Linked DNA regions of Oryctolagus cuniculus. The protein of the gene in region 4 interacts with the protein of the main gene of each other region in a pairwise test. Links are inferred from orthologs where the notes say so. Each region holds a gene or a part of one and is shown on either strand. Other genes may lie near its edges.

Region 1 (4,209 bases), on a different chromosome or scaffold from region 4:
ACTGCCTCTTGAGGACCGAATTAAATCCACTCACCCTTCAGCCCTTCACTTCCTCAGAGAAAACCCTTTCCTATTCCCCTCCGTACACCGCCGCCCGCTCCGTGAACTCATACAGCATCCCTCAGCTGTCCAAAGTACTTAGCACAGTAGAAATGTCACTCGGTCACTCAGGACACTGCTCACCACGGCTCTCCATGCTAAACCTTCCAAGAAGGCGGGATCATCTGTTTGATTCATGTTTCTCGCCCCAGGACACAGCACGGTGCCAAGCACAACGCTGCCACTTTGGCAACACTTTGTGAATAGGCAGCATTCACAGGTACAGATGGACAACTAGTGAAAGACTCCGGAAACACTGAATTCAAGTCCTGACCCTGACCTTCAATGTGACCAAGTAAGCTGTTTTCAACATCTTAGTTTCTTCCCCTTAGAAATAGACAATGAGGCCAGTGTTGTGCATAGTAGGTTCAAGACCAGGCTGCTCCACTTATGATCCAGCTCCACGCTAACGGCCTGTGAAAGCAGCGGAAGATGGTCCAAGTGTTTGGGCCCCTACCACCTCCCATGTAGGAGACTCGGATGAAGCTCCTGGCTTTGGCCTGGCCCAATCCTGGCTGTTGCTGTCACCTGGGTAGTAAACCAGCAGGTGGAAGATCTGTCTCTCCTCTCTGTAAGCACGCCTTTCAAATAGGTATTTAAAAAAATATATTAAATAAAGATAATGGGGCCAGCAGTGTGCTGCAGTGGGTTAAACTGTGACACTGGCAACCTACGTCAGACGCCTGTTCAAGTCCCACGACACTTCCAATCCAGCACCCTGCTAAGGCACCTGGAAAAGCAGCAGCAGATGGCCCAAGTACTTGGGCACCTGCCACCCACGTAGGAGACCAGGATGGAGTTTCTGGCTCCTGGCTTCAGCCTGCCCCAGCCAGTTGGCAAAAACAATGGATGGAAGATCTCTGTCATTACACCTTTCAAATAATAATAAAAAACTAGCTGGCGCCACGGCTCACTAGGCTAATCCTCCACCTGCAGCGCCGGCACCCCGGGTTCTAGTCCCGGTTAGGGGGCCAGAGTCTGTCCCAGCTGCTCCTCTTCCAGGCCAGCTCTCTGCTGTGGCCCGGGGAAGGCAGTGGAGGATGGCCCAAGTGCTTGGGCCCTGCACCCCATGGGAGACCAGGAGAAGCACCTGGCTCCTGCCATCGGATCAACACGGTGCGCCGGCCGCAGTGGCCATTGGAGGGTGAACCAACGGCAAAGGAAGACCTTTCTCTCTGTCTCTCTCTAGCTCTGCCTGTCCAAAAAAAAAAAAAAAAAAAAAAAAAACTCTAGCCTGAAGTAAACCAAGACTCCACTAGTGAGCGTAATCAATACTAGCTCATCCTCCCGTCAGCAAACACTCCTCTCCCGCCCATCCTATCTGTATGCTTTCAGTCTCCGAGTCAGAACCCAAATCATTAGACTTTACTACAAGGCCTTCAAAGGTTTTTTTTTTTTTACGATTTACTTATTTGAAAGTTAGAGTTACAATGACAGAGGAAGAGACAAAGAGATTCTATCTGCTGGTTGACTCCCCAAATGGCCACAACAGCCAGGGTTTGAGCAGGGAGGCAGGAGCCAGACTCCTCCGGGTCTCCCACGCAGGTGCAGGGGCCCGACGACCTGGGCCACCCTCTGCTGCTTCCCCAGGCCACAGCAGGGAACTGGATCGGAAGTGGAGCAGCCGGGACTCCAACTGGTGCCCGTACAGGACGCCTGCAGCGGGTTAACTCACAGAGCCACTCAACAGCTCTCTCTTCAGAGGGGTCCCTGTGTGCAGCGTCTAGCGAGGGTTACGCAGGGGTGCAAACTCTGCCCTAAGCCCGCCAGCCTGCTCCTCCAACTCACCACCATGCCCTACCCACAGGGCACAGTGAATTAACCGGACACAAGGCAAAGCCACGGAGGCCACTGCTTAGGCGACCTCCCCAAGTCGGGAAGAGGCCGGGGGCTTTTCCCTGTCCTCTTCCCGCCTCCTTCCAGGGCACGGAGACGATGTTCTGTCTGCACGGTCGAATCCCCAAGGACGACTGCCCCCAAGTCGCCGACCGCGACGACTGGAGCTGGCACCGGTTCGGAGCGGCCGCCAGGCTCCACAGCAGAGGCCAGAGCTGTCTCGGGGCCGGGCCGCCCGCGCGCCCCGCGCCGCCCCGGGACCCCGGCCCCGCTCGGTGACAGGCGCCAACTTCCGCCGAGATCCCGGGACCGACGGCGAAAGGTCGGCACCCGGGGGCTGCGGGGAGCAGGGTTCAAAGTCGCGGTCCGCCTCCTCCGGCCGGCCGAGGCCGCGCGCGCGGCTGCACGGACCCCGCGGGTTCCAGCCCGGGACCGGCGGAGCGAGGACCCCCGAAACAGACGCGCGGGCCGCCCCGCGCAAACTTCCCGAAGTGGCGGGAGCGGGGCGCCCGGACGCCCGCAGCCCTTCCGCCCGCTCCAGCCCCGGCTCCAGCGGCTCGGCGGCGTCCTGAGCCGGGCCCAGACCCCGGCCCGCGCCCCCTCGGCCCGGCCGCCCTCACAGCCAGCCCCTCGCGGCCCTGGCCCCCGCCCCCACTCCCACAGGGACTCCCACCGGGCGGCGGGCAGACAGGCCGCCTCGCCTCAGGCCCCGCGGCCAAGCCGGCCTCGCCACCCACCTCGCCGGCTCGCGACGCGAGCTCGCCCGGCCGCCCGCCGCCGCGGCGTTCAGTCAGCTGGCTCTACCGCCGACAGGTCCGCCACCGCCACCGCCGCCGCCGCCGCGCTCCTTCCGGCCCTGCCGCGGCGTCACCTCGCGCCTGCGCACAGCGCCCCCTCCCGACTGCTGACAGGAAGAACCATAGAGGCACGCGGGGCGCTGGGGAGGAGAGACCATAGAGAGGGCCGCCTAGCCGCGCCCCCCTGCGGCGGGCCGCCCGCGGGGCCTCGACTCCCCCACGAGGCGGGAGGACGAAAGGACGGGAGGCCCCCTGCTCGACCCCTCTCGGTGGAGAGGAAGGGATTGGAGGGCAGGTGGCCGTGGGAGGGCCAGGTGCCCGCTTATTTGCAGCCCCCGCCTTTGGTAAGTCGCCCATCGCTTCCTCGCGAAGTGCCCTGACGGCTGCGTGCGTGCTGGGCGCTGTTCGTAGGAATGGCGGGTGCCATACTTGAGGAATACTGTGACGTTTTAGTTGGGCGGCCAAGAACTAACTAACAAGACTGACTCAGGCAGGGTGTGTTGAGGCCGCAATTCAACCCAAGGAGGGTGGGGGGAATACATAAAGCAATAATAAATAAATAAAGCAATGAGAAGGGGTAGTGTGGGTGGCTGGAGAAAGCCATTTCCCCCAGAAAAGCAGGTGTTTGAGCCAAAACTTTGAAGGCGGTGAGGGCTTGAGCCGTGGGGACCACCCGGGCTAAGAACACCTCCATAGAATGATCTGGAAGCGGGGAGGGGCCGCTGTGGCGCACTCAGCTTCCCGCGCGAGTCCGGGCGGCCCCACTTCCGACCCAGCATTCCTTTCTCCTGCTTCCCGGAAGTGCTCGTGCCCCTACCGGCCACGTGGGAGACCCGGATGGAGCTCTTGGCTTCCGCTGCCGCCATTTTGGGAGTGGGCCCGCGGGTGGGAAATGGCTGTCTCCCCTCCTCACTGTAACGTTGCCTGTCAGATAAAATACTTAAAAAACAAGGAGAGAGGGGCTGGAGGGTTAAAGCCCCGGCCTGCGGCGCTGGCGTCCCATACGGGCGCTGGTTTGAGGCCTGGCCGCTCCACTGCCGACCCAGCTCCCTGCTAATGTGGGAGACTCGGAGGAAGCTCCTGGCTCCCGGCTGCGGATCGGCTCAGCTCCGGCCGTTGAGGCCATCTGGGGAATGAACCAGCAGATGGAAGACCTCTCTCTCTGTCTCTGCCTAACTCTTTCGTTCAAGTAAATAAAAGTAGGGGCAGAGGCCCTGCACAGGCATGTGTCCTCCCTCCCCCCCAGGGCTGCAGCATCCAGGTGTTCCCCGCGGGGAGCAGGGGCGTGAGTGGTGTCTCCGGCTGCTGGGAGAGTGTAGAGAGGGCCGGGGAGAAGCAGGAAGGCCGGTCTGGGGCTACTGCAGGAGTCTAAATGGCAGACCGTGCTGGCAGACTGGTACGGTCGGGGAGGGGGAGGAGGCGGTGGCAAACGGACAGACCTGCAGGCTGTGTGGTGGCCACGCTGGTATCCCTTACG
Region 2 (3,559 bases), on a different chromosome or scaffold from region 4:
CTCGAACCAGCATCCATATAGGATGCCGGCACTGCAAGCCACAGCGTTAACCCGCTGCATCACAGTGCCGGCCCCAGAAGTTTCTTCTTTAGACCTTCTGTTTCCTCTCTGCATCAGCTCTGTCTGATGGAAGCAGAACATGAGCCACAGAGGTAGTTTTAAATTTTGTAATTCAGGAATGAGGGCTTTCCTACAGTGGGGAGAGAATGACTCTGTATCACCCTTTACTCTTGTAAGTTTACAAACGAGCGAGATCCAGATATGATCTTGTGAGAGCAAAGCGACATGGTCACCTAGGAGAGAACAAGGGGTTTCTCAGCAAGGACATCTGCTGTGTAACACTGACTCTGATTCTGTGTTCTCCAGCCCCAAGATCAGAGGCCAGGAGACCATCCTGTTACTGTCACTTGTTCGTCACACGACGGCAGGTAAAGAAAGGGCTCTGTGAGAACATTCTTGCCGGAATGTAAGAGGTCAGAAGGAAGAGGTGGCACTCTGATTATTGAAACTAAGCATATAGGGGCTGGTGCTGTGGCGCAGCAGGTTAAAGCCCCCGCCTGCAGTGCCGGCATCCCTTATGGGTGCTGTTTCGAGTCCTGGCAGCTCCTCTTCCAATCCAGCTCTTTGCTATGGCCTGGGAAAGCAGTAGAAGATGGTCCAAGTCCTTGGGCCCCTGCACCCACATGGGAGACCTGGAAGAAGTTCCTGGCTCCTGGCTTTGGATCAGCTCAGCTCTGGCCACTGCAGTCATATGGGGAGTGAAACAGCAGAATGGAAGATCCTTCTCTCTCTCCCTCTCTCTGGCTCTACTTCTCTCTGTAACTCTCTGTCTTTCAAAATATATAAAATAATTCTTTAAAAAAAAAAAACTAAGCATATGATCACCACCTAGCATCAGGGACTTAAGCAGTTCCTCAGAATGGATAATCATCTAGAATAAAAACAGAAAATAAAGGACGACTTCCATTCTATCACATGGTGGTGTAGTAACAGGTAGGACATATAAAAAGAACAACTTAAACACTTAACCAAAACTCCTTTTCCTTCTCCCTCCATCACTCCTAGTTTAGCCACAGTGGATCCTACCAAGTGTAATCAGAATCACTGCCTTTGGCCTGCCTCTGTTTCCCACCTTAAAACAGAACAGCACACAAAAATGTCTTAGCCTCTGGCTTTGGAACGGTCAAGAATCAGAGTGCTGAACTCAACAAAGAGGTTTATAAATTGAAGAGGAAAGGGATCATTTAGAAAATGGTGGCTGCTTGAGGCCTCTGTATTTGTTCTGATCACAAAAGGTTCCGAGATGAGCTGGAAGACATGTCAGGAAGCAAGAGGAAGGGAGAAGAACTTGAGGAGGCAGAGAGGAATGAAAAGGGAAGCTAAAAAACTGGGGAGTAAAAGGAAGAGAAGGGGACAAGGCGTTCCATCTCTGGAACCATTAGGAGCAAACAGAAATAATCTGAGTTGGTGGTAAAGGCATGTCTTTCCCAGCACCTGCTTAATTTTACAAAGTGCCACCCAAGAAGAAAACAAGTATCTCTGGGTATTTAGTGGCATGGACATTGCCCGTGGATGAACTCCTGCTATGGTACTAAAGTGTTTCCACCTGCGGTGCTTCTACCCTCGCTTGGGGTTTTGGTCAACACCCATCGTAAGAAAGGGTGCTGCAGAAACTATACCATTTCCATCTCCCCAATCCTCTGGGGATGTGGGGTGCTTTGTGTTTATTCCAGTTAAAAGCCATAGTATTCCAACCTTAAGAATCCAGTTCTTCCAAGAAGTATGTCCATTACTGGCCGACTAACGAACCACTGAATGAAAAACGATTAATTCTGAGAGGTCTCTTGGATATAAAACTGTTATCTCAATATGCAAAGCCTGTTTTTAGCATAAGCTACTGAATTTATAGACTGGTGGCTTTGATAGAGTATGAAACAGGAACAAGTGGCTTGCTTCTAAACCACACAAATGCTTTCAAGATATCACTTGAATAATTTTCCTATTAAAGCTGTCCTATTTGGGTATGTCTTAGCACCAATGCAATTATGAAAACACAGAACAAGGGGAGGAAGTTTGGGATACAGAGGCAGGAGATCTTTCTGTATACATGGCCAACCCACGGAGCCATCAGATTTCTAGTGGAACAAAAACTTCAAGGGCAATTGAAAAAGTATGAGCAATATTATGGAACTCAAAACGACAGCTTTTTGCTCTCCTAGACTGAGAAGATGTTACCCCACACAAACCAGAGGCTCCAATCTGAGGGTTACCAATGATGGAAGTAACTCATTTAATAAAAGCAATGAGGTGACCATAGTGAGCCAAAGATGTTAGAAAGGAAAATATAAATTGCTCTTGTAAGAGTCTGTCGATCACTTCCTGGCCTTTTGGCTAAGATCAAGTGAACAGTCTATTGAATGAGCTCATGGAGTCATCAGGATTCCAGGATGACTTATGAAAAGCAGCATCTCTGGCCTTTAGGAAGTAACACCAGGGGTCAGGAAGCCTGAATCCCAGCTGATCCAGAAGACTTCCTTTTTTAGACAGGGTTACTAGAGGCATGCAAAGGAACATGGCTTAGCTGCCTGTTTTGGATGAGACACACAGCACCCTGAAATAAAACCTCACTTAGACTCTACTCAAGTTCTAGGAGACAGATATTTACTTGCTGGGGAAACAGAAGCTGGTTTTGCATTTCCATACAGTCGATGGTGGCAGGAACACCAAACACATCAAATGATGAGAGCCCTCAAGGTCAAGCTCAGCTCACACTTTTCTCGCTGAACTAAGGCTCGATTTTCTTTCCCTTCCAACCCCTGCTACCACACACTCTACCGCTGCGGCTTTAGGTTACACCCATTTGTTTGCAGGCTGACATGAACTGTCCTGTGCATTAGCCTTTCTTCCACAATGAGCCTGTGCAGTTAAAGGGCAGGAACTGCGCCTTACAATTCTATTTCTTCTCTGTCATCTGAGAAAAGACAGGGGATCTCACAAGTGACAACTGCAGGTTAACTTGAAAAATATAAACTGCCTCTTAACCCTTTTCAAAAGGTTGGATGAGTAACAGGAACTTCCTCTATAAATCTGTGGTTTAAGAAAATGACCGAAAATCTCACACTGCTGTATAACACAAAGTCACAGTTAGGAGACATGATATGAGCAGATCTATGAAATCGGCCTTGTGGCTCTCACTTCGTAACGCTTAGATGACAAGATGTCTTTGTGCATACGGAATTGCTGAACAATAATGTGGAACTTAAAGAAGCAAAAGACAATTCTGTCGTTTCCTGTTCCTTCTCACTACTGTTCAGGGGCCAACTGTTGGTCAACCTTACCTTGAACTTCCCATCTGAAGAGAAAATGCTAACCCATTTATTATCATAGTCGGCAATGATGATGTCCCCACTAGGGTGCACGGCGACCCCCGTGGGCCGCTGCAGTTGCCCGGGAGAGCGGCCTCGTATACCAAAACGACTTTTGAACTGGCCATCGTTGGAAAATATCTGTAAAACAAATCACAGTCATTGGGGTGTGAAGTAGCCCAGGAGCTGCTGAG
Region 3 (4,026 bases), on a different chromosome or scaffold from region 4:
CTCTCTGCCTCTCCTCCTCTCTGTAACTCTTTCAAATAAATAATCTTCTTTAAAAAAGGAAAGTAATTCAAATTCTCCTTCGACTGAAGTAAATGCTCTCAATACGGTGACATCCAAAGACCTTCAATTTAAGAACTGCAGAGCACCCATGAAAAATAGCCGGGTCCCTTGTGCCTTCTCCTCTTCATTCTCTAGTCTTAAATTCATCTGGAGAAGAAACTCTACTACAATTTCACTAACTTATTTTCACCCCATCCCCAAACAAAATAAAGTTTCTTCTAGGATTGCTGAAAGTCTCACTGTGTGAAAGTAACGTTAGCAACATAAAAACGACGACAAATTTCATAAAAGCTATGACCAGTTAAAACAAGAAAATGGAAAATATACAGACAACACATAATCCCAAAGTATACAAATGCCATTAAAACTGCAGTTCACAACGGAAAAACAAAGATTTTTATAAATGTTTACAGCAACATAGGAGCCAAAATAAAGACTGGTTAAATCAGTACTGTACAACATTCTATCAATCAAATGTCATAGTTTACTACAAGCCATTAGTAGAAACAAGGTAACTGGTTCATAACGGAGTACAGATGAAATAAACCCATCACAAAAACTGTTGTGGTTACCTTTAATTTTAATAAGATTTCGAAAAATTATTTTGAAGATTTTTTTCCCCATTGGAAATGCCCAACAACTCTTCCGTGGTCATTTTGTGCACCAGAATTACCACAACAGGCAGATCAGAAGCCAATCTATAAAGTAGGTCCACAAAATTTTATGTCTTACCTCCTGCTTACTCAACACTAGTTACTGCACAAGGATAAGAAAGTATCACTCCATCCAGTTATCTGGATAAGCGAGAAGTCTTTCATAAATTAAGTATGAAAAAGCCTAAAAATATTTCATGAAGAGGCACTGAAGAAAGCTCAGTTTCTAAATCATGCAATTCTTCCTTCACTGTGCGTAGCAAGGTGAAGCAATGTATTTTCTTCAACCAAGATAGTCTTGAACTTAACTGCTCCTTTGCTTGCAGTTACAGGCCCTCTTTTGGATGCAATGTTATACTCGTTGGATAAATAAAAGACACTTCCTAGAGGTCTTTGTCTACCAACTTTAAAACACTGTGTAGCCCAAGGAAATTTTCTAACCTGTAATTGGCATCATGTATTCAAACCGTAAGCATAGTTTTAAAAAAAAAACACATTTTCAAACTTCACATTTGACTACAATGGGTTACATTTAAACACATACAGTCTTTAACAGCATAGGAAACACTTAAAGCCACTTGGAAATATCTTTTCTAATACTTAAACCAGAGACACAGTCATTCCTAAGATACAGAACAGTAATTCTGAGTCTGCATATTTGTAAAACTGTTAATGGAGGGAAAGAGAAAACAAAACAAAACAAAAAAAAACCACTTTAACCATGGGGATATTAAAACTTCGTATGCGGACCTGGAAGACATAAAAAAAAGCTTTTAGGGTGCACTGCAGTTGGGCACTATACATGTATTTAAAAAAAAAAAAATGAGACTAGAGAAAACGCAGGCTCGGAGCTCAAACGTCACTACTCCAGCAACAAACGAGTTCCTTTCCCAGGATGCTTGGCCAGTTGGTTCTCGCGGGCAACCGTGTCCGATGGGACACTGGAAAACCTGGCCGGCTCCTCCTGCAGCCTTTCAAACCCTAAGCAGAGCCCGGGCGGGGGTGGGGTGGGGGATCAACCACGAGCCTCCGAAAACAGGGTCCCACCTCGCACTCCGTATTTTGAAACTACACCTTGTCTACGTCTTCATCACGCTCATCTGGGCGTGAGCAACCATCTTTTTGTTTCATCCAAACCCCACTGCGCGCCTCCAATTCCTGGTCGCGGCCCCAGCCACTTATCTCCGCGGCTATTTTCAACACAAAGGCCCAGAACGGCTGAGACTAGGATGCACTGCAAGCTCCTCTGTTATTAACAGGGCACGGGCTTTTGCACGCAAGCGGCGGGCGCCCCAAATCCAAAGACTTGTTGCAAACGTGCTGGCACCGACGGCGCCTGCACCAAGTGGGACGGGCACGAGGAGGAGGGCGCCACGCCGAAAGCGGCCGGGAGCGTCCCGGAGACGGGGCGCGCGGAATACAAAGGGTCGTGAACGCGGCCTTCCATGAGGCGGCCGTGCGCGGACAGCGAGACAAAATGGAGCGACGGGAGGAATCGGAGCCCGAGCGGCCCGGCCGGGGAAGAGGCGGCAGGGGCGGCAGGGGCGGCGGGCGCGCGCCCCGCCGGGGCTTCCTCTTCCAGCCGGCGGCGGGGGAGGGGGCGCGGCGGCCCGTTCTCCCCGCCGCGCACACGCGGGCCCCGCCGCCCGGGCCTAGCGCGGCGGGAAAGCGCTCGCCGGCCGCCGCCAACAATGGGGAGCCCCGAGGCCGCGGCGGCGAGGGAGGGGCCAGCGGCGCCTGCACGGCGGCCCGCGACCGCGCTCCAGGCCCTGCGGCGGCTCGCAGCGCCCGCGGCCCGCGAAACGACGCGGTAGAACGAGGGGGCGAGGGGGGCGCCGGGGCCGAGTGGCGGCAAGGGCGCACGGTCTGCAGCAGCGTCGGCTCGCGGCCCGCGGCGGGCCCCCGGCGCGGCGTCCAGGCCGCAGCGTCGCCCGCGTCGGCGGCGCGGGCCCAGGCCCACACGTACCTGGTTGAACTCTTCGCCCACATCCGCGTAAATGTCTATGTGGTCCACACCGTCCGCCATCTTCCCTCGGCCTCGGCCGCCGCCGCCGCTGCCGCCTCCTGCAGATCCGCCCGCCGCGGCAGCAGCAGCGGATCTGGCGGCGGGGGCGGGGCGCGCTGCGTCACTTCCGAGGCCCGAGGGACCGAGGCGGGGGCGGCGGGCGGCGAGGGCGCTGCAGCGGGGCCGCTGTGCGGACTGGGAGGAGGAGCTGCGCCTCCTCCCGACGGCTGCGGCCGTTTGTTTTGTGCGTGGGGTTTGGGCTGGGGAGGGGGCGCGGCGTGGACAACTCGTGTCCCTCCGCTGCCGGCCTATACCGCTGGTTTCCAGAGACCGCCTTTTCGCGTGGCTCCTGGCACCCTCGAATGGTTCCCCCCCCAAAAAAATTTTTTTTCGATCCTCCGTTTTTCCTACGTTTCTCACATTCAGGGCTTCTAGCAGTGGTGGAAGTTCGCATTCCACGCGCAAATACGAAGCGTACGCTCCGGGCACTGGGAGCGCCGAGAGACGGGGAGCGATGTCCTCCTGCATCCTACCGGGGCAGCACTCGGCTCTGCCTGGTGCACGCTACGGACCCGTTGGTGGTCTGAGCTATTTGCATACAGTTTGTGTCTCCTTCGCCAGGCGTCGTTGGCCACTTTCCCGTCTCCCTCCTTCATTTTTTTCCCTGCTTAGCTCTGCAGTAGGTTTTCGCTGGCGTAGTTCAGCTGCTTCTCACTTGAATGCAATCACCTGGGAGCCCACCCAGCAAAGTCAAGGTAGCTGGAGGCCGGAGCCTTCTCTCTTAGAATTATAGAATGACCCAGCCAGAAGGGAACTGGGAAGAGTGTCATTAGGTACAAATAGCTCATTTACAGGTGAGAAAACAGGTCCAGGAGAACCTAAGCGATTCAACCGGGGTTCCCGTGAGAGCCTGTTGCCATCAATGATTTATTCAAAATGCCTCTCTAATTTGGAACACCTCCCCACCTTTCTTTCTTTTTCACTCATTTAAAATCCCATCAGGTTAGAATGTTTCCTCAGGTACAGACTGGCCAGAAATCATCTGCACAATAAATATAATAAGCCAGGGGACATTTGTACATATTGTAGTTGGGAAAGCTTGGTTGCATTCGGGGAGACCCATCTGGGGATATGGATGCAAGTCTCTAAGGTGCAAATTTCTACTGAGACGTTTTACCAGCTAGAAGACCTCAGTTGAATTATCTGCTCTCATCTTCAATCTCAGGCATTTTTAAAAAATGTATTTGTTTATTTTAAAGATAGAGTCCCAGAGAGGGAGAGCACAACAGCATCTAATAGGAGATGATT
Region 4 (4,200 bases):
CGGTTCCAGTCCCAGCTGCCCCTCTTCCAGGCCAGCTCTCTGCTGTGGCCCGGGAGTGCAGAGGAGGATGGCCCAAGTGCTTGGGCCCTGCACCCCATGGGAGACCAGGAGAAGCACCTGGCTCCTGCCATCGGATCAGCGCGGTGCGCCAGCCGTTGTGGCCAACTAGGGAGTGAAGCAGTGGATGAAAGACCTCTCTCTCTCTGTCTCTCTCTGTAACTCTGACTTTCAAATAAAATAAATAAATCTTAAAATAAAGAAGACTCTCTATTCGTGTCAAGTAAACAATTTAACGACTGGGTTTTACAAGGAAGGGCCCCGATGGCCCAGACCTGACTGAAGTTCGGCCAAGCAGAGAATCCTGCCCCGTCCACAGAGAGAGCCCACTGGACACGGCCACAGGGCAGCCCCACAGAGCCAGCCTTCTTGCGCAGCTGCGGCTCTCTAACTCGAGGGCACCTCAGAAGCACCGGGAAGATTTTGGGCCCCCTCTGGGGGGCTTCGGGTGGAACGTGAGAAACCGCCTCCCCCAGACTCTAGGTCCCGAGGGTCTGGGGTCCCCACTTCAGCACAGCGCCCCCGAAACACAAGGCAGCTGCATGTGCAACTATGCTTTCTAGTGTCCATTGTATCAAAAAACACAAACTGGTGGCTGGGTTTTAATTATTTAACTTAACCTAAAACACCCAAAATACAATTTCAACATGTAACCAATAAAACATTACTTGGATTTTAAAAAAAGATTTATTTATTTGAAAGTCAGAATTACACAGAGGAGAGGCAGAGAGAGAGAAAGAGAGAGAGAGAGAGAGAGAGAGAGAGAGAGAGAGAGGTCTTCCATCCAATGGTTCACTCCCCAACTGGCTGCAACGGCCAGAGCTGTGCCGATCCAAGCCAGGAGCCAGGAGCCCCATCCAAGTCTCCCACGCGGGTGCAGGGGCCCAGGCACTTGGGCATCCCCCACTGCTTTCCCAGGCCACAGCAGAGAGCTGGATGGGAAGTAGAGCAGTCGGGACTTGAACCGACGCCGATGTGGGATGTGAGCGCCACAGGCGGCGGCTTTTCCCGCTAAGCCACAGCGCCGGCCCCATTACTGAGATATTTTACATTCCTTTTCCCCGCCAAGTCAGTTCTGGAGTGTTTCACCCTCGGAGCCCACCTCAGTGTGGACTGGTCCTCGCTCAGCGGTCCCACGCGGCCGGCGGTCCCACGCGGCAGGTGCAGGGCCGGGGACAGGCGCGCAGAACTACATCTCCCGGCATGCCTCGGCGCGCCCTGTGACGCACTTCCGCCACGGCGCAGCTGCCGGAGAACCACATCTCCCGGCATGCCCCGGGCAGTCGCCGCGTGACGCACTTCCTGCGCGGCGGCGGCGGCAGCGGCGGCGGCGGGAGCCAGGCGACGGCTCGGGCCGCGGCGAGTGACGGGCCGCGGGGCCGACGGGGGCCGGGCCGGGGCGGGGCGGCGGCGGCGGCGGCCCAGCCCAGGCGCGCGTGGGCAGCCGGGCCCCGCCCCCGCCCCGCCCGCCGCGGTGACCTTCACGGGCCCGGGCGGCGGGCGCAGGCCCGGGCGGCGGCGGCGCGATGTTCGTCCAGGAGGAGAAGATCTTCGCCGGCAAGGTGCTGCGGCTGCACATCTGCGCGGCCGACGGCGCCGAGTGGCAGGAGGAGGCGAGCGAGGACACGTCGGTGGAGCAGCTCAAGGAGCGCTGCCTGCGACACGTAAGGCCGGGCCCCCGCCGCGCGCGCCCCGCGCCCCGCCCCGCGCCCCCGCCCCGCGCCCCCGCCCCGCGCCCTGCCCCCGCACCGCGACCCCGCACCGCGACCCCGCACCGCGCCCTGCCCCGCACCGCGACCCCGCACCGCGACCCCGCACCGCGACCCCGCACCGCGCCCTGCCCGCCCTCGCGCGGCCCCGCACCGCCTCCCGCGCCGGGTCCCCCGGCGGACTGAGGCTCCCCCAGTGCCCGGCGGGCGTGGGTCAGCCCGGCTTGGCCACCTGCGCGCGCCCCTAAGCCGGAGGCCTGGGCTACGCGCAGAGACGCTTGCCCCGGGGAGGCGCGGGCGAGGCCCCCGTGCGCCCCGGCGCTCCCCCGCCTGGTGTTCGGACGCTTTGGGGCCTTCGGGCGTCCCTCGTGCGGCCAGCTGCGATGGCCGTCCGTCCCCGGCGGCAGCCCTTGCCGGATGCCCGGTGTCCCCCGGGAGCTGAGTTCCCACGTGCTGGCGGGGCCCTGCCGGGCTGAGTCGGGGCCAGCCGCCTGCCGTGGAGCCTGGGGAGGCGGCCCAGCCCTGGCCGCTGCCGGCGTCTGGGCCTGAGCCGGACGCGAGGGACGGGGGTCTCTCTCCGTCTGCCCCCCCCTTCAAGTGCAATGCGAATCCATGATTTCCTGACGAGGTGTGGCCGGTGCGGCTGCTGGCGGACTCCGGCCATCACCTGGCGCCCTCGGTGGAGGGCACGTGGGCCTCTGGTGGGAGCGGGTCAGCGCCCCTGCTCCGAGCCCCCCGCCCGGAACAAGGCCAGGAGGGGCTCCAGGCTCACTCGTCCCCGGGGTTTGGGCCCTGGCGTCCCTGTCTCCTGTCTGCCGTGTGGCTTCCGGGTCAGAGCCCCCACGGCTGTCCGGAGCGTCCACGCCGGGCAGCCAGGCCCAGAGTGTCACCTGGCTGGTGTGGTGGTCCTGGCAGTGTCCCCGCTGCCCCGGGAGGGAGGGACTTCTGGGCCCGGCTCCTCGGGAGCAGCTGTGCCAGGCGGGGTCGCTGGCCCCAGCGTCGCTGCCCGGAGTGGCGTGGGTGCTGAGGGAGCCGAGGGAGTGGCCGCTTGGGCGGCGTTTCTCGGTGGGGTGACGTCCACGGAGTTGGGTGTTACGGCGTTGGTGCTGTGACGGCGTTATCTCCAGCTCACAGACGCACGGCTGTGGGCGGCGCTCGGGGAGGGCTGGCAGCGGGCCCAGCGCGTGCGAGGGCAGGGGCGGGAGGTGGCCGTGGCCAGGGCCGGGCTGAGGCCTTGGCTTCTGTCCGGGGCGCCGGGTTGTGGGGGAAAGTGCTTCGTGGGCCATGTTCCGGACGGGCCGCGGCAGCTCGCCGGTGTCGGGTGGTGACCTTCCTGCGCAGGGGCCATCCGGACGTCTGTCACGTCACGCACGGGCCACGCGGGACTGTCAGCTGGAAGACAGGCTGCCGCGGTGTCGCCGGCTGTACTGTGGTCGTGCAGTGGTTCCGCAGGCCCGACGCCGCCCCCACGCGCCGCGCCAGCACGCGAGGGTCGCAGGAAGGTGTGGGGTCCTCTGCTGCGGGTGGCAGGCGTGCGTGCTGGGGCTCGTGGCTCGGTGGCTCGTGGCTCGTGGCAGCTCAGGCCCTCCCGATCCCTCAGTTGCGGCTCGTTGCAGTGCCCGGGCGGCCGCTGGGTGCCGCTGGGTGCCGCTGGGTGCCGCGGGGTGCCCGTGCTCACGTGTGTGCCTGCAGCCCCCGGGCTCTGGGCCTGTGGGGGGAGGGGGAGGCCACCAGGATGGCGCGGCAGGTCCCGGCGTGGGTGTGTCCTGGAGTGCACACGGCCCCCGCTGAGCCGGTGTTAGGAGAGCCCCCGGGGGCTGTGCCGCGGCGTCTCGCGCGCCCTCCGTCCCGGTGGGCCTTGGGGGTCTGCTGGAACAAGAGCCACCCCAGCAGGGCTCCCGCCCCAGGCTCGGGGGCCCCTCTGGGAAGCGGGGGTTCCGCTCGGTCGCCGGCCGTGCCGTGTGGTGCGTAGGGCCCGAGGGGCCGTGCCGGGCGTCGCCGTGTGCTCACATCGGATGGCCCTGTCCGGCCGCCAGCAGAGCGGTGCTGGGTGCGCGTGCGCCCTGGACAGCTGTGCCCTGTGTGAGGCAGGAGGCCGCTGTGGCTTCCGGAGCCTTCAGGTCACAGGTGGGGCAGGATGGGGGAGCGCGTGTGCCGCCTCACTGCGTGCTGAGGGGCCGGGTCCCGCTCCTCCTGCCCGGGCTGCCCAGGTGCTCTGGGTGTCAGGGCCCTGGAGGCCCTGTGGGCCGCCTGCAGTGCCAGCATCTCATATGGGCACTGGTTCGAGACCCGCCTGCTCCATTTCCCATCCAGCTCTCTGCTGTGGCCTGGGAAAGCAGAGGAAGATGGCCAAGTCCTTGGGCCCCTGCACCCGCGTGGGAGACCTGGAAGAAGCTCCTGGCTCCTGGCTTTGGATTGGCACAGCTCTGGCAGA

The links.
Region 1: the proteins of UBAC1 (region 4) and RNF216 interact in binary tests that used the Homo sapiens proteins (3 or more experiments, as listed by UniProt). The link is inferred for Oryctolagus cuniculus from reciprocal best matches to the Homo sapiens genes UBAC1 and RNF216.
Region 2: the proteins of UBAC1 (region 4) and TRIM2 interact in binary tests that used the Homo sapiens proteins (3 or more experiments, as listed by UniProt). The link is inferred for Oryctolagus cuniculus from reciprocal best matches to the Homo sapiens genes UBAC1 and TRIM2.
Region 3: the proteins of UBAC1 (region 4) and CPSF6 interact in a two-hybrid assay, tested with the Homo sapiens proteins (2 studies listed by BioGRID and IntAct). The link is inferred for Oryctolagus cuniculus from reciprocal best matches to the Homo sapiens genes UBAC1 and CPSF6.

What each region holds. Positions count from the first base shown.
Region 1 is NC_091450.1:39,630,276-39,634,484, forward strand, and holds the start of RNF216 (E3 ubiquitin-protein ligase RNF216), read right to left. Parts: upstream 2,836-4,209; 5' UTR 2,673-2,835; intron 1-2,672.
Region 2 is NC_091439.1:9,697,018-9,700,576, reverse strand, and holds part of TRIM2 (tripartite motif-containing protein 2), read right to left. Parts: intron 3,507-3,559; coding exon 3,339-3,506; intron 1-3,338. UniProt on the Homo sapiens protein: UBE2D1-dependent E3 ubiquitin-protein ligase that mediates the ubiquitination of NEFL and of phosphorylated BCL2L11. Plays a neuroprotective function. May play a role in neuronal rapid ischemic tolerance.
Region 3 is NC_091442.1:71,555,874-71,559,899, reverse strand, and holds the start of CPSF6 (cleavage and polyadenylation specificity factor subunit 6), read right to left. Parts: upstream 2,838-4,026; 5' UTR 2,740-2,837; coding exon 2,680-2,739; intron 1-2,679. UniProt on the Homo sapiens protein: Component of the cleavage factor Im (CFIm) complex that functions as an activator of the pre-mRNA 3'-end cleavage and polyadenylation processing required for the maturation of pre-mRNA into functional mRNAs.
Region 4 is NC_091432.1:236,896,794-236,900,993, forward strand, and holds the start of UBAC1 (ubiquitin-associated domain-containing protein 1), read left to right. Parts: upstream 1-1,380; 5' UTR 1,381-1,583; coding exon 1,584-1,721; intron 1,722-4,200.